Linked DNA regions of Tamandua tetradactyla. The protein of the gene in region 1 purifies or fractionates together with the protein of each later gene. This does not show direct contact. Links are inferred from orthologs where the notes say so. Each region holds a gene or a part of one and is shown on either strand. Other genes may lie near its edges.

Region 1 (11,068 bases):
GGCTGAAATCGAGCAGCTGGCGAGCTGCATGGTCTGCTAACATTGTCATAATTGCTGGCATAGATTACTGAAAAGAAAGAAAAGAAAATTGAAGCTGCCTATGAAGTTTTGATATTAGTCCAAAAATTTCTATTCAAAAGTTATTTTACTTCAATTGTGTTATTACAACATTTTAATAACCACTTTAAGGAACTTATCTAATTATTATAAAACAATTGAGATAGTAAAAACAAATAAAACTGAAATTACTTAGCTACTCCATAACTGCAGAAATTATTAGGGTCCGTCCAACTTCTTAAGTGTCTATTTTTAAACTAGAGAAAAACTTACTGTTTTACTAGTATTTTACGTAAACAGTTACCCTATTTTTAAATCAAATCCATTTTTAGAATTTTATGGCCCTATAAATGGATAAAGTTCAAAATCTTGATCTCAAATTGTAAACAGAGACGATGTTCAAGTAGATGGTTTTTTGTTCTTCCCAAAGTAGGGTCCTTCTACAGAATTCAGTAAAAGCTCATTTTCCCTCATTTCACATTATCTTAATTTTTAAAGATATGCTTAAAGGGCAGGAGATATTAAAAATTAAATGCAGATATATAAGACTTTCTATTGTACATAACAATGATTAGCAGGAACTACAAGACTAACAAATTTTGGTACCAATTCCCTTACTTAACACCTCTATAAAACTTACGCTTCTACACTCCATAAAAATCATCTATACTTGTTACTTTCAACCCTCAATGAAATCTGGGATCAAAATTACCATACAAGATTAGCAATTTTTTCTATACATGATATAGGAACAAAACTTATGGCAATGTGCCAAACAAGATTTCAAAAATTTTACAGGTATTCTTCGGCAGCATAAAAACTTGCCAACTATTTTCCAAACAAAAGCAAATTTTATCATAACAAGAACTACTTAACTTCAAATAAATATACTGATTAAAATCTACTGGTTTATATGCAATTTTATCCTTTTAAGAGGATTCAACTCTACAATGCTGGCACATACCCACATTTTTGCTGCCTGGCATTATAAAATATCGTCTCTCCAATTTCTCTCTTTAAAGCTAATGCCACTCAAGTCTGTCTAGTTAAAGCAGTAGTCCTTAACCTTTTTTGGGTCAAGATGACTTAGAATCAGAGAACACTATAGCTCTTACCCAATAAAAACTGACAATTTCGTGAACAATTACAAAGGATTTAGGACACCTTGAAAGTCACCCATGAAACCTCAAGTTTAGAAACCCTGGTTTAGTGTTATTGAGAAACAAGGTCAGATGGTCATCTCTACTTCTACCCCTCTTGAAAACTTTTCATTACCAGGATTTGACTGCTTGAGTCCACCTTGGACAAACTAGCTTGATATGAAAAATGTGTTATTTCTTGACTATTTCACAGTAGTTTAACTAAAAAAAATTTTAAAGATAATTTTAATTACAACAAACTAGAAATCTAAAAAATTAGTTATTTAAATTAGATATAATGTTAAAAAAATCAAGTAATAATTCAAGGATATTTTTTATTCCTTTGAAGTCTTATGGTTCATTAGTGGCAACTAAAACTTACGAGATTTCAAAATTGTTCATAGCAGGTATTAAGCAAGCATGTTTTAAAAACCATGTCTGTTATATACACCATAATAAATGCTTTAGGTCTAAATAGCTAATATAAAAAAAGAAACACATTCCACAAATAAATGAGCAATTCCCTTCAAGTGCCACAGAACAATCTTAAAAACGTGAGACTGAAAAGCCTATCAAAAATAAGTTTTCAATTATTTTGGTTAAAAATGCAAAGAACTTTCTCCCTATTTAGCTGTCAGTTTTTAAAAAGCTAAAATAGAAAAAGGATCAATCAAGTAACTCGTGAAAAGTTTCACTTTCAAGTACATTGTCCTTGCAGAATTCTCCTAGCTACAGTCATGTGAAAAATCACGTTTGGAATAGGAGCCTTTAAATACAATAGTTTTGCCATTATTAGAACTAGCGGTTATGTTCAAAATGACCTACCTATTCTTGAACTGTACTAATACAGACATGGCGGCTTTGTGGTCAACGCCAAGCACATTTAGTACCCCAAATCAAACAGCTTCCAAAACATTCTTTCCACAACAGCAGTGTCCCGCTCAAGATATACAACCAAGCAGTTAGTAAACAGCTATAGTGGGTGGGAAGAAACCACTAATGCTTTCTTTTCTCCTTGGGCCCTCAATCCTAAAATCCACTCACTGGATAGCACATTTGAGGGATTATCCAGCAAAGTTGTGACTCTACAAGTGACTACCAAAACATGTTCACTGCCACTTCAAACTAACTAGGCAGGCAGCGTACACACTGCCAGGTACCATCCAAAAATTAGAAAATCATAACCACTGCTTAATGATTATGATTACTTCACACCAGGTCAAAAAACAAGTCGCTACAAGGCAACAGACTGCTACTTAGGTGTATGGGCAATCGCCTGCTTCATTCAGTAGAAACACACCTCATTAAGGCCCGCCCTCCCTTGCTTCCCACTCGAACCGATTTGCAGCACTTCTAACTATAGCATACTGGAGCACGCACTCACCCCGCCCATACTCGGAGGAGGCTTTTAGACCAGCAGCCTTAAGTTCACCGCCCCGTTCTCTATGCAGCATGGCCTCGGCCTGTTCAGAGGTCCCGGCTCGGCAAATATTTCATGCTTCCTCTACCACACCACTTCCTCCCACCTCCCCAAACTGGGAGACATCGGGATGAAGGAGGATCAGGGCATCATACACTCTACAATGCCAGCAGTAAACGATTCCATCTCTTTACACTCTCATGTCGGAACAAGAAAGTACAACACGGAACCCCGCTCACAGAGCCGTGAAAAAAATTAATCTTTCCTACTTCTCATCCCACTCTGATAAAAGCCAGAAAGCTTTTGAGTTTCCTTGCAGGAGGAACAGGGACTCGGCAGCCCCTCCCTCGCCAGATCCCAAGCTCTCCACTGGAGCGGGCCACGTGATGCAGGCGGACGTTTCAATGCTGCTGCACTAAATATTTCTGGAAACTTCCACTCCTGATAATTTAGAGATGTTCCTGAAATCACCCCAACTTCTCTTCCACTCCCGCGCAGGGCCTCGCTCCACTACCACGCTCCTTGCCTTCTTCCACGGCCACCCGCACACGCGAGTGACCGAGCAGGCGCTCCCCTCCCGCGGCCGCCTCCCCGCCTGCATCCCCCAGCGGCAGAAGAGGCTCCATTCAATCGCAGGATCCTCTCTGGGCCCGGCGCGCCCCCGGCCCGCCGCCGCCGCCGCCGCCGCCTCCCAAGCTCGCCTCCCGCGGCCGCCGCCCGCCCCACGCCGGCCTCCTCCCGCCGGGCCACCGCCTCCCGCCCCTCGGCCCCGAAGACACAGTCGACTTACCGAGAGATTGAACCAACTGCTTCTTCCTTCCTTCTCGGGGAATTAGGGCGAGGGAAGGTGGGAAGGGGGAGAGGGGAGGAAATCAAGGTGGGTTTCTCAGTTTTCCCACCTTAAAAAAGGAAAAATTTTAAAAAGGAGAGGAAAATGGCAAAAAAAAAAAAAAAAGCTGAACAATATTTACTATTTCAGGGGCACCTCCCCCCAACACACACACACACACCCGCCCCCCCCCCCCAAAAAAGAAAGGGGATTAATCTGTGGAACAAATGCTCCCGCCCGGCCGGGGAGTGAGGGAAGGGGGAGGGGAACGGGGTCAAGTCCCAAAGATTCAGCCCCAGGGGGACCCTCCAGCCACAGGCAGCAGCGGGAGCGGCAGGAGTAGGGGGTGTAGAGTCCACACGGTCGGGGGGACGCTCTGCTGCCAGTTGCAGTCCGACTCCCCCCACCACCAAAATACGGCTCCCTCTCTCACGCGGCTCCGGCGCTGGGCCCCCCCACCCAGGCTCGCCTAAACTTTCCCCCCTTCTCCTGCTTCTCAGCGGCTGGTGGTTCCCCCCTCCCCCTCTGGGTGGTTGCACGGACTGCAGCAGCAAAGACGGGAACAGGCACCGCCGCCGGGGCTGTAGCTACTGTTGCTCTTGCTGATGCTGTAGCTCCCGCTGCTCCTGCCGCGGCCGCTGCAGCCGCTTCTCCCCCTCCTCCTAGTGCCTCAAACTCGGAACCGGTTGAAACCGGTTCAGACTGGGAGATTCCATCTCGGTTGAGTTTTCAGCCCATGGCGCCGCGGAGCGTTTGGAACCTGGGCCTCCGCCCCCAGCCCACCCGCCTATTGGTCGGTTCCAGCCACAGCCGCGCCATCATTCTAGCTCTCATTGGCCTGATCGCCCGTCAGTCCCACCTCAAGGCTCCATACGAGCCCGCCGCTTCGGCCCCCGCCTCTTTCCAGCAGCGATTTGCCCGCAGAGTGGGGGAGGGGAAGTGGGGCGGGTCGAAAGCGAGAGAGAAGGGGGGGTGGAGGAGGAGGTGGTGGGGCATAGAGCTGAGCCCAGCAGAGAAGGGAGAGAGCGACGCCGCGTGGAGGATTGGTTCAAGAGAGCTGTCAGTCAAATGCAACCCGCCCCCCAACTTCCCTTCCCCCTCCCGCGGCTCCCCCTCCCAGTTCTTTGCCCGCAGGCTCAGCCTTTCCGGCCCGTTCATTGGCTGGGCGCGTTTGGTGACGGAGAGGGTGGGGCGCAGCTCGGGAGCTGGTGGCTGCGCGAGTCTCCTCGCGGCGCGCGGCTCCGTTGGGTTGACTTCTCCCGGACCTGCGCCGACCCGCCCCCTCCGGCTCCCGCCAACCTGCGGGGGGCCTGGTCATGCGGGGATCTGACCCGCCTCTCGCATGCGGGCTACGCTCCCAAAACGGAGGGCACGCCTTTTTTAAATTTATTTTTTAAATCGGGAGGGGTGGGAAAAAAAGGTTAAAATTTTTTGTAAAAATCGGAGGCCGATTGTAGGCCCCGGACCACTTTAACCCACTTTAAGAGTGGGTTTGGGCCAGAGAGTTGAGGGTGAGAATAACCGTGAAAGAGGTCTGGATAAGGTGGGGCGTGTACCCCCTGCGCTTGGTAATCTCATTATCCTGAAAAAGATACCCGAGTAGTTCTTGGGCACGAGTCTCTTTAAATGTTAGCGCTATGTCTCTTCAGGCTGGAATTTGGCTGCTTCAACAACCAACCCTGCCTGGTTAGAAGTACATTCTAAAAACTAATTGTACCCCGGCAATTGGTTTAACAGCGTTTATTTTTGCTTGTTAAACTTGCATACCAACTGCCTCCCACCTGGTGTCCTTGATCTGCCCCCACTCTCCGTTTTTCTTTTCAGCTTAGATGCCCTTCACAACTTCATCATCATCAAATGGTATTTTCTATGAAAATTACACGCTCGTGGCCTTTCACGTGGTTACCTCTTGTTTGTCCTGAAGTGCCCTCCAAATCAGCTTTGCTAATTGTTCTTTGCTTGAGAACAGCCCACCAAAACTTTCACTGAGCCCGCTCTGCCACCAAGAGGTTGATAAATAGTTTATTAAACCAACGGAGTTTTCTTCAGTAAATGCAAACAATGAGCAATGGCTAATAGCACCACTTAAGAATGACTCCTGCCCCTCCACTACAGAAAACCCCAAAAACAACCCAACACTTAGATTTACCAAAATGATATTGGATGAGTTTCAGACATAGAGTGTTTATTCATTGTCTAAGGGAATCATATCAAATCGTAACAAATCTAATCCAGAGGATATGTAATATATGGTATAAGATATAATGTATGTGATATATACTGATCATTTGGAATACTTATGTTCTATTACCAGAAAAACTGGGACTGTCCTGTTTTAAAAATGTTCACCCTCCCACCATTTTAAGCTCTAGAACCAGGCCACAAGGTCCTGATTTTTGAGATTGGAAGCATAGTAGGAATAAAAACAGCTGGGAGTAAGACCTGGCTTTACTTGGAATGTGACCTTGGGCAAGTCACTTCACCTCTTTGGGCCTCAGTTTCCTTCTTCCCCATTTAATGAGGCTGACATTCTCCATGCCTCTCTCACAGAATTAGTGTTGAGAATCAAATGAAATAATGTTAGCAAGGGAACAGTGTAAATCATAAAGCACTTTGTGGATTGTAAAATTCAGATAGTCTCTGTTTACTATCCCCAACTTTAACCTTTTCATCCTATCTTTAAATCACACCCCAAGAGGTCATATCTGTCTGACCATAGTGAATCAGATGTAAATATTTGGTTCATCTTTTGCCTGGGGTTAGCTGAAGAGTTTGTGGCAGAAAATGGTACATTCAAAATAAATTTGTTGTCTAATTAACAACTACAAAAAGGACTGACTTGCATGCACCTTCCCAGGAGATGCTAAGCAAGCCAGAACCCAGAGTTATATTCTCTAGGAGCTAAGTGATGGCCCATAAACACTTAAAGAGGAAATCACAGCAAACAGGCTGAAAGCAAGGATCCTAGGTGCTAAGGACCAGCAGATGCCAGCCATGTGCCTTCTCAGCTAACAGGAGTGTTCTGGTTGGCATCAGCCTTTCGTGAATGAAGATAACTTCTTGTTGGTGCCTTAATTTGGGCATTTTCATGGACTTAGACTGTAAACCTGTAACTTTTTAAATTCCCTTTTTAAAAAGTCATTCCATTTCTGGTATATTGCATTCCAGCAGCTTAACAAACTAAAACATCATATAAAATATTTTGAATTAATAATAAATTAAAAACTTAAAAGTGAGTTAAAAAAACAAGAAAAAAAGAGAGTGGGGCAGATAATTGAGTTTGATCATATTTTCAGAATCAAAATCGAAACACGAGGTCTGACGTATTAATTGTCTAGTACTTTTTTCATTTGTTGGAAGCAAACAGATTTTGAACTTTAGAGTGAGATATGGATAGGGAAATGTATATAAACCATATTGAATGTGTATCTGGTATCTAGCAGGGTGTTAGGACTTTTTGTACAGTATTTCACTGAATTCTCACAGCAGTTTTGTGAGAGAGTTATTATTTTGTAGATTTTTCTCTTTCTCTGTCTCTCTCTAACATACTCTCTCCCCTGCCACTCCGACACACATATACCACCCCAAAGTGGTTGGATCACTATTAGAACTAAATTTCTGGTCTTTCTATTACTCAACATTGTCTCACAAAACAATAACATTGTTAGAAATAAGAGAAAGAGAAGTCCATAACTACAGTAAAAATTTAAAGTCCTCCTTCGTATACTTCCCCCAACCTTCTGACTCTCAGAGATAATCATTAACAGAATACCGTGCATACTTTGAGATATTTTCTAAGCATTTATAAACATATTTGCTTTGTGTTTTGTTCAACATATATGATGTCATACTACATATATTCAGTGACTTACTTTTTACTCAACAAGCCAGAATGTGTAAATCCACCTCATCCTTGTTAACAGCCTCATAGTCTTCCACCTTGTCTTGGTACTGTAACTGATTCAACCATTCCGCCGAGGCCTATAGGCTATTTCTGGTTTTCTCTCTTACAAATAATGCTGCAGCGAATATCTTGGTACATTTATCCTTGTGCACAAATGTCAATATAGTTCTAGGTTAAAGTCCTAAAAGTGGAATTATTGTTTCAGAAGGTACATATATTTGTTATTGTTATAAATATTGGAAGATGTTATCAATTTACATATCAAACAAAATGTGTGAACAGTGCCTGTTTATTTCACATAAAACCCATCGGTATTTGCTGTTTCCTAAACAGATGATCAGATCATAATACATATCTATAAGGAAGTTCTTTATAGTCACAAACAGAGTCTGATGATTCAAATGGGCAATCTTTGCATATACATTTGACCTTTGGGCTGTGAAAGCAACATCAATGACTCTGCATTCCTCAAGGAATATATAAATAATAATATTAAATGCACATGTAATGTAGTAAGAAAAATAAGGAAAAGATAAGCAATAAATCTATTACTTTAATAATGGCATTGGTCTTTTCACTGTTTTTGAGGAAATTAATACCACTTTTTTCTGAGGGATATAGTAGTGGCCTTCCAACATAGATTTCTTCCAACCAGAGATAAAAAGCAGGCACTTGAACTAAAAATACCATGAGTCTAACTAATCACATATTCGGGTATTGAGCTCAAATTGTATTTCACTGGGCTTTTTCTTCCAAGGAGTCTAACTTCATATGATCTGAAGGGATGCACTGGACAAAATGCTTCTCTGTAATATCTTATTAGGAGATAGTTTTTTTATTTGCTTTTAAAAAATACTTCACAAAATTGTATACAGCATCACATACTTAGATTTCAAAAACATTGCCGATTTAACTTCGTCACCAATAGAATTGTATCTGATGCTGAAGTATGATGCAGGGAGGAAAGGGATACCCTTTTCAAGAAACAATTGACCTGGGATGTCTTAATTCAGGTTGCAACCCTATTCTTATTGACAGTGTTGAGAATGTTTATGGAAAATCATGAATATTTTGTCGGTGGAGTGAAAGGCTGTGTCACTAAGACCTCAATGAACTATCTACATGGTGTCTAAGAACTTCGAATCAATCAGGAGCAGAATCAGCAATTGTCTGAAAATGAGTTGCTGCCTTCCTGAGAACATAGTGAAAAAGTGTTTGGCAAGGCTGCTAAATCTAGGAGTTATAGCTTGATGTTCTGAGAAATTCGTACTGTTCTCCTCGCTCATCAATAGGTCACAAATTCTCTTAATCATGGAGAAAAGAGAGATGAAGTATCATTTATCTAGGACCATTCTCAGACAGGCCAGGGGAAGCTATAGAGTTGCTTTTCAAGAAATATTTCCAAGCTAAAAATAATAATAAGCTGGGATTATAGGTCTACGTATATAAGAAGTAAAATAAAGCAGGGAAAGTACAGTTGATGCCTGTGGTTTGGAAAGATATGTCATCTCTTTCACTCACAAAAACAGTCCATTATGTATTAGGCAATAAGAAACAATGAATGAAATAAAATAAAAGACATGAAAAGGCGTAACACTAATCTATTCATTCGACAAATACATTGAAAGCCCACTCTTTGCTAGTCTGTGTTCAAAGTGCTAAGGGTTCAATGGAGAATAAATCTTGTGGGAATTTTTGCTTTCATTGAGTGTCTAGTCTGATGGAAGACACACGAATTAAATAATATAAATAAGTCAGAGAAATAATGTGTTATATGATGTTAAGTGCTAAGGTTAAAAATAAGAAAAATAAAGCAAGGTAGGAAATGCAATGTGTGGCGGTGGTGGTGGTTACACTTTTAGGGTGGCTGGGGAAGGTATTGCCTAGAAGGTGGCATTCAAGTAAAGACCTGAAGGAAAAGAGGGAGGAATTCCTTACCAATAATTTGGGAGAAGACAGGTGGAAAAACAAGTTCAAAGGCCCTGAGGCAGAAACATATTTAGTGTGTTACTTACAGTGGTATGGTGGAGCCAATTGTTAAGTTTTCAGGAATTTTGTAAATTGGTTGTTAAGCACAGCCATTAAAAAATTAAATTATGTGATCTTACTGTGAGATAAATTACATTAAAAGCAAAATAATAAATATTAAAAACTCATCTAATTATTAGTGCATTTTACTATTATCTATCTTCTTGGAGTTATTTGTGTCTATTGTATCTGCCTGATGGAAATACCATATAATGGTGTGCTGCTGCACGTCTCTTCACAACTCTGCAATGCATGACATCACCTTGGGGAGCTTGAAATCAGCCATAGTGGGAGTATTTACACCATGGAAGTTAGCTAAAAATCAAGCCATCTTTTCTGAGAGTTGGTAGTTAAACATTTACCAGTGCACCTCTAAGTGTTAAGGACCACCAAGGAGGCTAGAGTTGTGATCAGAGTTGACTGAACAAGAGAAAGACAAGTCAGAGCAATAAAGGGACAGGATGGGGGGCAGGTTGTAGGGCCTTAGGATAGGCCATTATGAACCCCGTGCCTTTTCTACTGAATGGATTCTGGAGCCATCCTGACTTCTAATTTTAACAGGATCCTTCTGGCTGTGGAGATGAGAACAGCCTGGGGGACCAAAGGGTAGAAGTAGGAAGAACTGTTAGGAGACCCTTAAATAATCCAGGAATTGATTTGGCTTGGAGGAGTGTGGTAGCCACAAAAGTGTTCTGATTCTGAATGTTTTGAAAGTCGAATCAAAAGGACTTCCTAAAGGATTGGATTGGGATGTGTGAGAAAGGGAGAATTCAGCAATGGATTTCTGCCTCAGTGACTGGAGGGGTGGAGTTACCATCTTCTGAGATGGGGAAATCTTCAGGAGGAATTAGTTGGTAGGATAGTAGAGAGTTAGGAGCTCAAAAAAAAAAAAAGAATTAGGATCCCAATTGCTCATCAAACCATAAATTCCTTAAAGGTAATGGCTTTGTGCCAAGTTCTTAGTTATACTTAATAAATATTTATTGAATTCATGCATTAATCTCTTTTAGCCTTTGCAATGAAATGAAGTCCTGGAAATTAATGTTGATGAAAAGATGCTAGCAGATATGATATTCTGTGACTCTATACTCTGAAGAAAAGGAGAAATGCCATTATATGCCACTCCAAATTAGGCTCATTATGCTTCCTTTAATTCTCCCCATTTAATAGGTCTATCTGACTTTTTGCTCTATGTTGGCATTGCCTGCCAGGGGCACTAGTTTTCTGATCACTAGCAGAGATTCAGGTATAATCACCATTAGTAGAAAACTTAAAGAGCAAAAAACTGTAGGAATATATTACTAAATTTTGATAATCTATTATCAAAATCATGGTATAAAAACCACGGCAGTCTCAGTGCAGGCAATGAGGCTCAGTGGTAGAATTCTCGCCTGCCTTGCTGGAGACTCAGGTTCGATTCCTGGAACCTGCCCATGCAAAAACAAGAAACAAAATAAATAAACCAAAAACCCTTAGTCTCAAATAGGAAATGGATTATATATGCTAACAATAACAATTTTAAAATGTTCTATCAGGTGCTCTGACTCTAGAAGAAATGAAAAACCTACCAAAATTAGTGGATCTATTTCAGTGATTCTCAACAGGGGGTAATTTTGCCCCCACACCCTGCAGACATTTAACAGTTAAACATTATTTCACAAAACAGTGACACTGGTAGTTTGATTGTTGGT
Region 2 (11,134 bases), on another chromosome or scaffold:
CCACTCATTTGTTCTCTTCTCTCTCCTCATACCTCTAACCCACCTGCATTCTCACTTACCTGATGACCCTGCTACCAACATCACTGAGAAATAGAAGTGATCAGAAGTACTTCCAGACACTTCTTTCACCACCCACCTACCTGCCTTTATGCCCATTCTCCTCCTTCCCTCCTGAGACAATGGTTGAACAGCCAGTGCTCCTACCAAAGGTTGACCCACTATGTGCCCAACAGATTCTATCCTCTCGGGCCTACAAAAACACTTCTCCTGACACTGGCCCTCTCAGGCATTGTCAGTTTCTCCTTTCCATGAGCATGTGAATATACTTTAACCTCACTCACATTACCTCTGCTTCGTCCCTTACCCCACATCCCCATCCAGTCACTGCCCTGTTTCTCTTTTCCCTCTTATGCAGCAGTCCCCGTAAGGTTATCTGTACCTATTCCCACTGCCTCTCCTCCCCTTTTCCCTTGAACACATACTGAGTAGTACTTTTTAACCTTCCTACTCTACCTCAACAGCTCTTATCAGGCACACTGATGATTTCCACCTTAGCAAATCAATCTAAAGGTCAATTTTAAGTTTTTCTTTTATTCTACTTATTACCTAATATTTTGAAACACTTTCTTCTTCTGGCTTGTGGGACACCACACACTTCTGGTTCTCCTCTTATCTCACAGTGAGAATCTCCTTTCCTTATTCCTCCTCATCTCCCTGATCTTACATTTATCTCAGAGTGTTTCTGGGATCCAGGAAGGCAAGTCCTATGTCATACTTCACCTCTTGCCATAGGGCTTCAAATAGGCATTACCTTTCTCTTCTTCATCTGCTTTCTCTGCAGTGGCATTGGTTTTGACAATACCTACAAAAGAATAGTTATTGTCACTAGAAAGGCAAATATCAAACCTACCCAAAAGCTTGAGTATAAACTCTGTGGTGAGGCTGTAGGGAAATGTACATTCTCATGCTTTGTGATAGAAATATGAATTGGTATAATATCTATGGATGGTACTTTGAAAATACTGAAGGTATTTTTTAGAATTTGTCCTATAAACGTACTTATATACATGAAGAAAGATTTAAGTTCATGGCTATTCCATTAAGTGCTGTTTATAATGGTATAACATTGGGAACAACCCAAATATCTATCAATAAATGACTGGCTAAATAAATTGTGGTATACACACATAATGCAATATTATGCAGTTATAAAAAGGAGTAAGGAAATTCCATGCACTGATTGGGAAAGCGTGCTGAGGTATATTACTGAGTAAAGAAAGGAATATTATGCCACTTTTTGGTTAAAAAAAGAGGGAATCTATATTGGTATTTGCTTTGCATAAAGAAGCTTTGAAAATACATGAAATACCCAAGAACAGCGGCTATTTATGGGAGTGTATGTGTATACAGGGGACAGGACAAATGAGGACCAAGATGGGAAGGAGGCCTTTCACTTTTTTCTACTTTCTGAGTTTAGAACCCAGAAATTAGAATTTTTCAGATGTTAGTTTAGAATTTTTTCAAAAAATTAAATTAAAAAACATTAAAGAAACATTATCAAGTGAACACTGGTAGTACACTCCAGTAGTGATTACAGGATTTAAAGAATCAGAGGTTACAGGAAATGTGGGAGCATAATATATATCACCTTCAGTTATGAAACTTAATATACTGGTTCTCAAATCTAGTGCTGTCACATGCCAAGTGTATAATAAATGAAAGCTCCTCAGCACACTGCAGTTCTGAGTGCTAAACAGAACAGCATGTGAAGCTTGTAGCTAGCTTGTAGTCACTCACCATTGGTATCTGATTTGATCTTCTCTTCCTTGATCTGCAAGCTGTTCATCTGATTGGGAATAAAAGGAAACAGAGTTAAGCAAATTACACACTCAAAAGAAGGCCTTTCCCCAGTGAAAGTCTAGCAGAAACTATTTCAACATCCGTATTTGAGGGCTTTGTTTGTCTGCTCAGTTTAGTAAATTACTAAAAGCCTGGATAAAAACATCACTTAAAATATCTCCAACAGCCTAAATAAAAAGAGAGGGTGGGTTAAATGTAATGATAGGGAGAAAAAGTATGACTATAGTCTCAAACCTCTGCTTCTCTCCCTATTAATGCTCTTTCTACAACATCTAGCCTTCATTAAATAAGTATCTATTATATCCTTTCAATGCCACAAACACTCAGTCTTCCTACATACAGTGAAGAATGATACCACCTAAATATCTCAAACAAGCTTTTATCTTTTTAGCCCTGAAACCCACACCCTTAATTAAAAGCAACACTTAAATAAATTAGTTTTCTTTCTTATCAACCACCTACATATAAATTAGTCAAAAGCTTGTTACCCTGAAAGTATTGATAAACTAAGTTCCTGATTTGAGAATCTTCCAAAAATGTAAACAAAATGGTTTTTCATCTACTCTTGGCCACTTCGTCAATACAAACTAAGCAGAACACTTAAACAGAATAATAATTCATATGTCTGCAAACAAGCCTCCAATGTCATGAGAATTATTTTCCTATACTGAAAGTGTTGGTAAGAATAATTGTGTGAACAAACAAACTCACTGTCTTCGTGGGACATGACTCCCAGAGGTGTGGACCTTCCTGGCAATGTGAGACAGAAATCCTAGAATGAGCTGGGACTCAGCATCTAGGAATTGAGAAAACTTTCTCAACTGAAAGGGGGAAGAGTGAAATGAGACAAAATAAAGTGTCAATGGCTGAGAGATTCCAAACAGATTCGAGAAGTTATCCTGGAGATTATTATTATTATGCATTATATAAATATCACCTTTTTGTTAAGGTGTAATGGAGAGGCTGGAGGGAACTGCTTGAAAATGTAGAGCTGTGTTCCAGCAGCCATGTTTCTTAAAGATGATCGTACAATGATATAGCTTTTGCAATGTGACTGTGATCGTAAAAATTGTGTGTCTGATGCTCCTTTTATCTACCTTATCAACAAACAAGTAAAACATATGGATTAAAAATAAATAAACAACAGGGGGAACAAATGTTAAAACAAATTTAGCAGAATGAAATGCTAGTGATCAATGAAAGGGAGGGGAAAGGTGTATGCTGTATATGAATTTTTTTCTGTTTTCTTTTTATTTTTCTGAATTGATGCAAATGTTCTAAGAAATGATCATGATGATGAATACACAACTATGTGATGATATTGTGAGTTACTGATTATATATGTAGAATGGAATGATCATATGGTAAGAATGTTTGTGTTTGTATGTTGCTATGTTAATAAAAAATAATAGCAATAATAATTCGTGATATTATAAAGGTTGTGCGGAATACCCAAATGAAGCCCTAGGCCCCAAGCTCTGCTCCCCACAAGAGCCTAGTTGACATAATTCATTATCCTTAAGAGCATCACTAATGTTCACTGAGGGCTTACTGTACTTTGTTAAATATGTTGCCTCCTCCAATCCCCCTCCCTGCAACCTGAGCTTGCTCTTGGCCTTTAGGAAAAGGAGGTCCACCCTCATACAGCAGAGTACTGATCTGATCTCTTAAGAAACCAGTTTTTAAAGATCAAAATCAGATTAACATACCTCCTTGGGGACAGATGCCTTTTCTCTCAAGCCAATGGGAAAGTTGGCACACACAAGACAAGGCATCTTTTAAAAGAACTTACCCATCAGCTAATCCTCATACTGCGGCTATCTGTATTATATCTATATATTGATCTATAGGGATCAATAGAAGCATATTACTCTTGCAACGTCTGAAAATGTGATTAAGACAGTCTGAAGCCCCATTCCAAACAAGCTGATTAGTCTTTGAGAAGTCTGACTGATGAAAAAGAACACTGTAACCGAATCTAACATATCGCAATCTGTATAATGTGTTAACAAAAGGCAACATGCTCAACAGCTGGAGAAAGAGATCCTAAGGGCAACAACTTGTCAGCATTTACTCAGCCATATTCAAGGAGGAATGTGCTGGCAGTCAAGTCCTCCTGTTTTGAGAGAGGTAACTTCAGCATGGGGAAGAGGCAGGCCAATCAGCACCCTATTTTTCTACACTCTGGATTCACCCTTTGCAGCAACCTTCTCATCATTAATCTAGTCTTTCACAAAAGGCAGTGTCTCTGACACTAGACACAGGTTTTCAGTCATGATAAAGGTATTTTCCCCCAACATAAGTAATAAAATAACTCCTGCCTGGGTGGCTAGCATTATGCGAGTTCCCAAGGCCCTGATTCACTGAAAGGTGACCTTGCAGACACTAAAAGGGACTTCATGGAGGACCTCAGGATCTCTATGACAGCTCTAATTTCAAAAAGGTCACAGGTTATATCTCTAAAGATTCTTAGGGTTTCTTTTTTTTTTTTTAATTTGCTAGTCTTGGAAAGAAAAGAAACTTAATTGGTGACATAGCCAGAGGAAGTAAAGGAAACATTGTGTCTGAAAATATGTCAGGGACAAATGAACTGGCATCAATCAGGTCCTTTCTATTTTTACTACTTCAATTCATATTTTTATTATCTTTCATTGGGACTCCCCAAATTGCATCCAACCCAGATTCCCAGATACATTATTCTCTCTCTCTTTCTTCCCTCCAGATCTATTTTTATATGCCAGAAAAGACTCTGAAAGTACAACTTTGACCACATAAGCTTGGAAACTTTCAAAGAGTAAACAGTACATGGAAATAAATGTTACTATAAACAACATCAATGAAAAAAATTGAAGTGCCTCCCAACCCCACCAACATCTACAGTAGGTTGAAACATATTTCTTCTGCGAAGAGCTACAAGCTGCCAATCATATTAGACCCAGTCATGGATCCAAGACATGCTAAAATATGAATTACCTAGGACACTGAAAACAGTTGCTTAATAGATAAAGAGAATCCGCGTTATATTTGCCTTTGCTTAAAACCGACCCTGAAAATACAGGTGCAATACAGGAAAGACAGGATACGTGGCAGGGAGAGATCTGCCACAAGATAAAATTATAATTGGCCCAAATGAAAATAAAAAATGGGATACTGGCCTCTTTAGTTTTAGACGCAAATAAGATTTAATCTCAGGGCGCATGTCCACAGGCCTACTCGCCCCGGGAGCACTTTCCCCCTGGGCTCGAACCTGGGTCCGCCTAAGCCGCTACTATATTCTCACCACCCTTTTGAGTTAAAGCAACTAACCGACTTGACTGCCGCTTCCTGTTCGTCCACAGCTAGGGCCCACGAGTCGGTGGCCATGGTCCTAAGGGCGGAAGGCAAACACGAGGGAATACACAAGGACCACACGTCAGCACCAGCCCTAAACCATCCGCGGGCCAGAAAACGTCTCTCACGCGGACCGGAAGCAGCAGCGCGATAAAGTGACGTCAGGCCCGAGAAGCCGCCATTCCCCGCCCGCGGCTAATCTCCGCCCTCCCTCCTCGCTTGAGAAACTCGTCATTTCCGCCGGATTTAGCGAGGCGCTTCCTCGTTGTACCTTGAAGTCCTATATCTCTGCTGAGTAAAACTCTTCTCTCACTTCTCTCTGAAGTTTTAGTTGTAAAACTACCACGTTTCATAGTAAATGTAGAGTCTCTGAACTGTGATGAAATTATCTAGAGGAAGCCCTGGGACCACTTCAGAGCTAAAAAATAAAAAAAAAACCAAACCATAAAAACCATGCCCTACAAAAGAATAAAACAAAACAAAAACCCAAAACCATGCCCTACTTACTCTTTGACCTCCTTCTTCAGTTTCCTTTTGATATCTTTTGAAACTTGAATCCCCACTAAGGGGACCCAGATAGCGATTCAAGCATCTAGTCTTTATATTTTACCCAATACAAAATAATGTCCACCTGCCCCAAACTGGTCCATATATACTTGAAAAGCCCCTGTCCAATCAATAAGAGTCAAGCTAACTTCCGTTTTGTATCTATAAAAAGGCCAAGAAGCTCCCAGCTGTTTTCACTTTTGCAGGTGAACTGACTGACTTGTTGCTGTAAAACTTTGGATGTCTAAAATAAAATGCTATAATCTGCACGCTCAATTCTGATTTGTGTTTTGACAACTGTAAAGCTTTATACAAAGGAAAGCTACATGAAACAGAATACCATATGATGCTAGTTTCTACTCTTAGAAGTGATAACACATAAGAAAAAATGGAAAACACACACACACCACTTCATCCCCACAATCCCATCATTTCTATAAACACACGAACAGCATTTTTTTCCTTCTGGGTTCTTCCAGTTTTTGTCCATATGCAACATAGCAGGGGTATTTTACACAGTCCCCCAAAAAGTATACATACAATTTTAAATTTAACATTATAAGACTACGTGGTTTCTCATGTCATTATTAACCATTTAGTTGCTTCTGATAAATATTTTTGTCTCTCCTTGAAAGCATATGAAGTCTTCAAAAAGAGCAAAGATCTCATCTGTCTTGGTCACTGCTAATTAGTAAACCCGGGAAAGTGCCTGGCACATACAATATTTATCCTTTTGAGTCAATAAATATTAATTTATTATTATATTAGCTTTTTATATAGCAATAAATAGCTTTTTATTTAAGATGTATTACTCCAGAATAAGTTTCTATACAGTGGAAGAATGTGTCAAAATAAATGCATAACTTGAACACACTTCAAAAATGAGAATATGTCAATAAGTACATGAAAAGGTGTTAAAACCATTAGTTATTGGGGAAAAGTAAACCAAAGTCGCAGTGAGATACCACTACACACCACTAGAATAGCTAAAATTAAATATTTACATGCCAGGTGTTGAGAAGCAGGTGGAGCAACTGGAACTCTCATAAACTTCTAGAGGGAGTGTAAAATAGCACAAGTTTTGTAGAACTGTGTGGCAATTTCTCAAGATGTTAAACATGTACCTACTGTATGACCCATCAATTTTATTCCAAGAGAAATGAAAAGATATGTCCACAAAGAGACCTGTACACAAATGTTTGTAACAACTTTAGTCATAATAACCCAAAACTGAAAACAACCCAAAATGTCCATCAACAGGAGAATGGATAAACAAATTGAAGTATATTTGTCCGATGGAATACTACTCAGCAATAAAAAAGAACTACTGATAACACATGATGAAACAGATGAATTTTACAGACATTATGCTACAGATAACAGACATGAGATAAATTCTGTCTAATTTTATTTATATGAGGTTCAAGAATGAGTAAAACAAAATCTATAGTAATTTCAGAACACTGGTTGCCTCTGGATGGGGTTAAGGTTGTGTTTTGGGTTGCTAAAGCTGGTGGACTGCAATACACCAGAAATGGAATGGCTTTTATAAAGGAAATTTATTACATTATGAGTTTATAGTGCTAAGGCCATAAAAATGTCCAAACTAAGGCATCCCGGAAAAGACACCTTGACTCAAGCTAGGTCGATGTCTGTCACACAGGAAAGCACATGGCTGGCATCTGCTGATTTCTTGTTTCTGCTCTGTTGCTTCCAGCTTCTGATCCCAGAGGTCTCCTCTCTAAGTGTTTATGGGCCTTCAAGTAGCTCCTCTGGGACATAACTCTGTGTTCTGGCTTGCTTAGCAACTCATGAGAAGGTACATGGCGATGTCTGCTGGGCTCTGCCCATGTCTAGGTGTCTGCTCTCTCTATTGGTGCTCCAAGCATCTCCAAACATCTGTGTTACTGTCAGTTCTGAATCAAGTGTTCTCCAAGCATCTGCAACTGAGGTTTCTTCAAAATGTTTCCCCTTTTAAAGGATTCTAGTAAATTAATCAAAACCCACCTTGAATGGGTGGAGTCACATATCCATCTCATCAAAAGGCCACACCCACAACTACATGTGTCACATCTCCATGGAAACAATTCAGAGTTTCCCACCCTAAGCAATAGGTCTGGCTCCACAAGATTGGATCAGGATTCAAACATGACTTTTCTGGGGTACATAACAGTTTCAAACCAGCACAGGTGGATAGGACATAAGGGAACTTCCTGGGAAGATGGAAATGTTTTATATCTTGAATTGGGGTCCTGGTTTCATATAACATTTGTCAAAATACGTTATCGGTTTTAACAGTATTAACTGTATCTTTAACATGTCGCTTTATAGTATGTAAATTATACCTCTCAATGAAGTTGATTAAAAAGCAAAAGAGGAATGAACTACTGCTACACTCAACAACATGGATGAGTGATTCGCAATCTCAAAGACATTAGGTTTGAGTGAAAGAATACAGACACAAAAAGAGTACACAGTGCATGACTCCATTTGTAAAAGTTCAAAATAGGTATTTCTAATCTATAGCAACAGAAATCAGAACGATGGTTGCCAGGGCATGGGCTGAAGTGGGTAGGATTGATTTTGAAAAGGAGCACAAGTGAACTTTCTGGAGTGACGAAAATGTTCAAACCTTGATTGGGGTGGTTGTTACTCAGGTGATGCAATGATCAAAACTCATGGAATTGTACACCTAATATCTGTGTATTGTGCTTAATATAATGTATATGTCAATTAAAAATAAGACAATTGCTTTAGTTTCCTGGCTGCTAAAAGAAATACCATACAATCAGTTGGCTCAAAATCAGAAATCTGACTCATGATGTCAGAAGCTAGAAGGCTTGTTTCCTCTCGGGTTCGATATCTTCTGGCTGGCCGACAATCGCTGGAGTTGTTGGCTATACTGTCACATAGACACACATGTGGCAGTGTATTCTTTCTCTTCAGGGTTCTGTTAACTTCCAGCTTCCGGCTGCTCCCTGTGGCTTCTCTTTTTTTTTTTTTTTTCTCGTTGACCTTCAAATTTTATTGTCACTAGATTGTATTTGTTGAAGGGAAGGGATCCTGAATGAATGAATGGATCTATGATATTTTGTTCATCTCTCAAACAAAATTGGGAAAAAGGTTCACATTGTTATTCCATCCAGGATCTGTATCTGATTCAGAGGAAGCCAACCACTGCTGCTGGGGGATGCTATCCTCCAGGACAATGGCAGGATATGGGCATGGAGGGAACCATGGTGGGTTCGGGGTCCAGTGTGCCCAACCTGGCATCTTCTGGTTCTTCTTGGGGCCTGAGGATTGTGCAGGTTTGGAGTTTGAACACGGAAGGTGGAACACTGGCCATGTTCTCATGGGGACCACCTGTGGGCTTCTTTGGTTTCTGAGTGTCTTCCTTCTTTACTTCCTGGGAGTTTCTAGTTGTTTCAGGTTGAAGGTTTGGTTCCTCCATTTTGACCTCTGTGTTTCCTCTGGAGACGTTTTTCTCTTCAGCCATAGGGTCTAATCCAGGGTGTGCAGAGCAGGCCCTTATTCCTGTGCTGTGGGGATTCAGGTAAGAATGGAGGCCCCAAGTATGGAAATAAGTCCTCTTCTTACTGCTGCCTGGAATGCTGTGGCTTCTCTTTTTACGTCCAATTTCATTTGTTTATAGTGATTTCAGCCATATTGGATCAAGGCCCACCTTCATTCAGTTTGGGCATACCTTAACCAATAACATCTTCAAAGGTCCAATCTACAATGGCTTCACATTCTAGGCCCAAGGTTGGGATCTGACTGACCTTTTGTGGTGGACATGATTTAATCCCCAACAACAATGTAATGAAAAACAAAACCAAAGCTTAAAAAAAGTACAGGTGGTAATAAATTCATTTGTACTGTGAAAAAAAAAGAGGGGAGGGGGTAAGAACGTTTTCTCAGCTCCTAACAACTCATCAAAACAGAGGACCTGCATATATAGACACACACGCACAGCTGCTGAAGGATATCAAATGATATCTTGTCTTTGCATATGACAAGTCTAATTCCTAGCATCCTCACCACCAATATGCTACTGCCTTAAGATTACATACTTATCAGGACACAGTGCCATGTTCTCACTCTACATCAGACAACAATCCTGTGGAGATGGCTAATTGGCTTCCTGGGTAGAATGATGGTCCTCTGGTCCTTATTAGCTGTATTAGTTAGGGTTCTCTAGAGAAACAGAATCAACAGGGAACACTTGCAAATATAAAATTTATGAAAGTGTCTCACATGACCGTAGGAATGCAGAGTCCACGTGACCGTAGGAATGCAGAGTCCAAAATCCACAGGGCAGGCTGCAAAGCCGATGACTCCAATGGATGGCCTGGATGAACTCCACAGGAGAGGCTCACCAGCCAAAGCAGGAATGCAACCTGTCTCCTCTGAGTCCTCCTTAAAAGGCTTCCCATGATTGGATTTAGCATCACTAATTGCAGAAGACACTTCCCTTTGGCTGATTACAAATGGAATCAGCTGTGGATGTAGCTGACGTGATCATGACCTAATCCTATGAAATGTCCTCATTGCAACAGACAGGCCAGCGCTTGCCCAATCAGATGAACAGGTACCACAACTTGGCCAAGTTGACACCTGTCCCTAACCATGACATCAGCCTAATCATCCCTTTTCAAAAAAAACTAAATTTCTGAGGCACCTCTCACCTTTTCTTGTCTCAAACACCTACATCCCAAAGCTTCTCATCAAAAGCAAAAGCAGCAACACCAGAATCTCTCACAACTGTGAATCCTATGGGGCAGGAGTCCCTGTTAAGAGCAGAACTTGAAGTGTGCATGCCCGTAGCTCTCTTTTGATTGCTACTTCCTTATGAAGCATGACTGCTCTGGGATTGAGGGGCTGACTCCTGTAGTGCTTCCACCAAAACAATTCCTAGAGCTAAACTTGGTCTCTGGGGGAATTAGGGTAGGATTTTTGCATGCACTGGATTTGTAGGGCATTTTCTAACATTTCCTTTTATTTATTCCACTACAACTACTGGGAGGTGATCTGCATTTGTTTAAGCCAAGTGGGTGCTCTCAGGGAGATGCAGCCATGTTACACCAACTGGGACAAAGACAACAGCCACTGGCCAATATTTAGGGAAGTTCTGGGAAACAGGGAGCTTTCTGCTATAGTAGCACACTCCTTTCTCTCAGCTAGTGTTATACTCCAAAGGGAGGATGTTGGGGATTGAATAATGTCCCCCATAAAGACATGTTCAAGTTTTAAATGTGCATTCCTGTGGCTGCAAATCCATTTGTTAAGATGACCTTTGAAGATATTAAGGTTTGGACTCATTTGTGAATAGGATTTTCAAAGATCTTATTTAGATGAGACCAAACAATCAGTATGAGCCTTAATCCATATGACTAGAGTC

What was found.
Region 2: the proteins of XPO1 (region 1) and ATP-dependent RNA helicase DDX19A fractionate together in Homo sapiens (co-fractionation; 3 studies listed by BioGRID, with this or other methods). This does not show direct contact. The link is inferred for Tamandua tetradactyla from reciprocal best matches to the Homo sapiens genes XPO1 and DDX19A.

What each region holds. Positions count from the first base shown.
Region 1 is NC_135343.1:34,216,574-34,227,641, forward strand, and holds the start of XPO1 (exportin-1), read right to left. Parts: upstream 4,229-11,068; 5' UTR 3,407-4,228; intron 68-3,406; 5' UTR 62-67; coding exon 1-61. UniProt on the Homo sapiens protein: Mediates the nuclear export of cellular proteins (cargos) bearing a leucine-rich nuclear export signal (NES) and of RNAs.
Region 2 is NC_135342.1:68,588,560-68,599,693, forward strand, and holds the start of ATP-dependent RNA helicase DDX19A, read right to left. Parts: upstream 5,343-11,134; 5' UTR 5,224-5,342; coding exon 5,167-5,223; intron 1,847-5,166; coding exon 1,798-1,846; intron 863-1,797; coding exon 812-862; intron 1-811. UniProt on the Homo sapiens protein: ATP-dependent RNA helicase involved in mRNA export from the nucleus.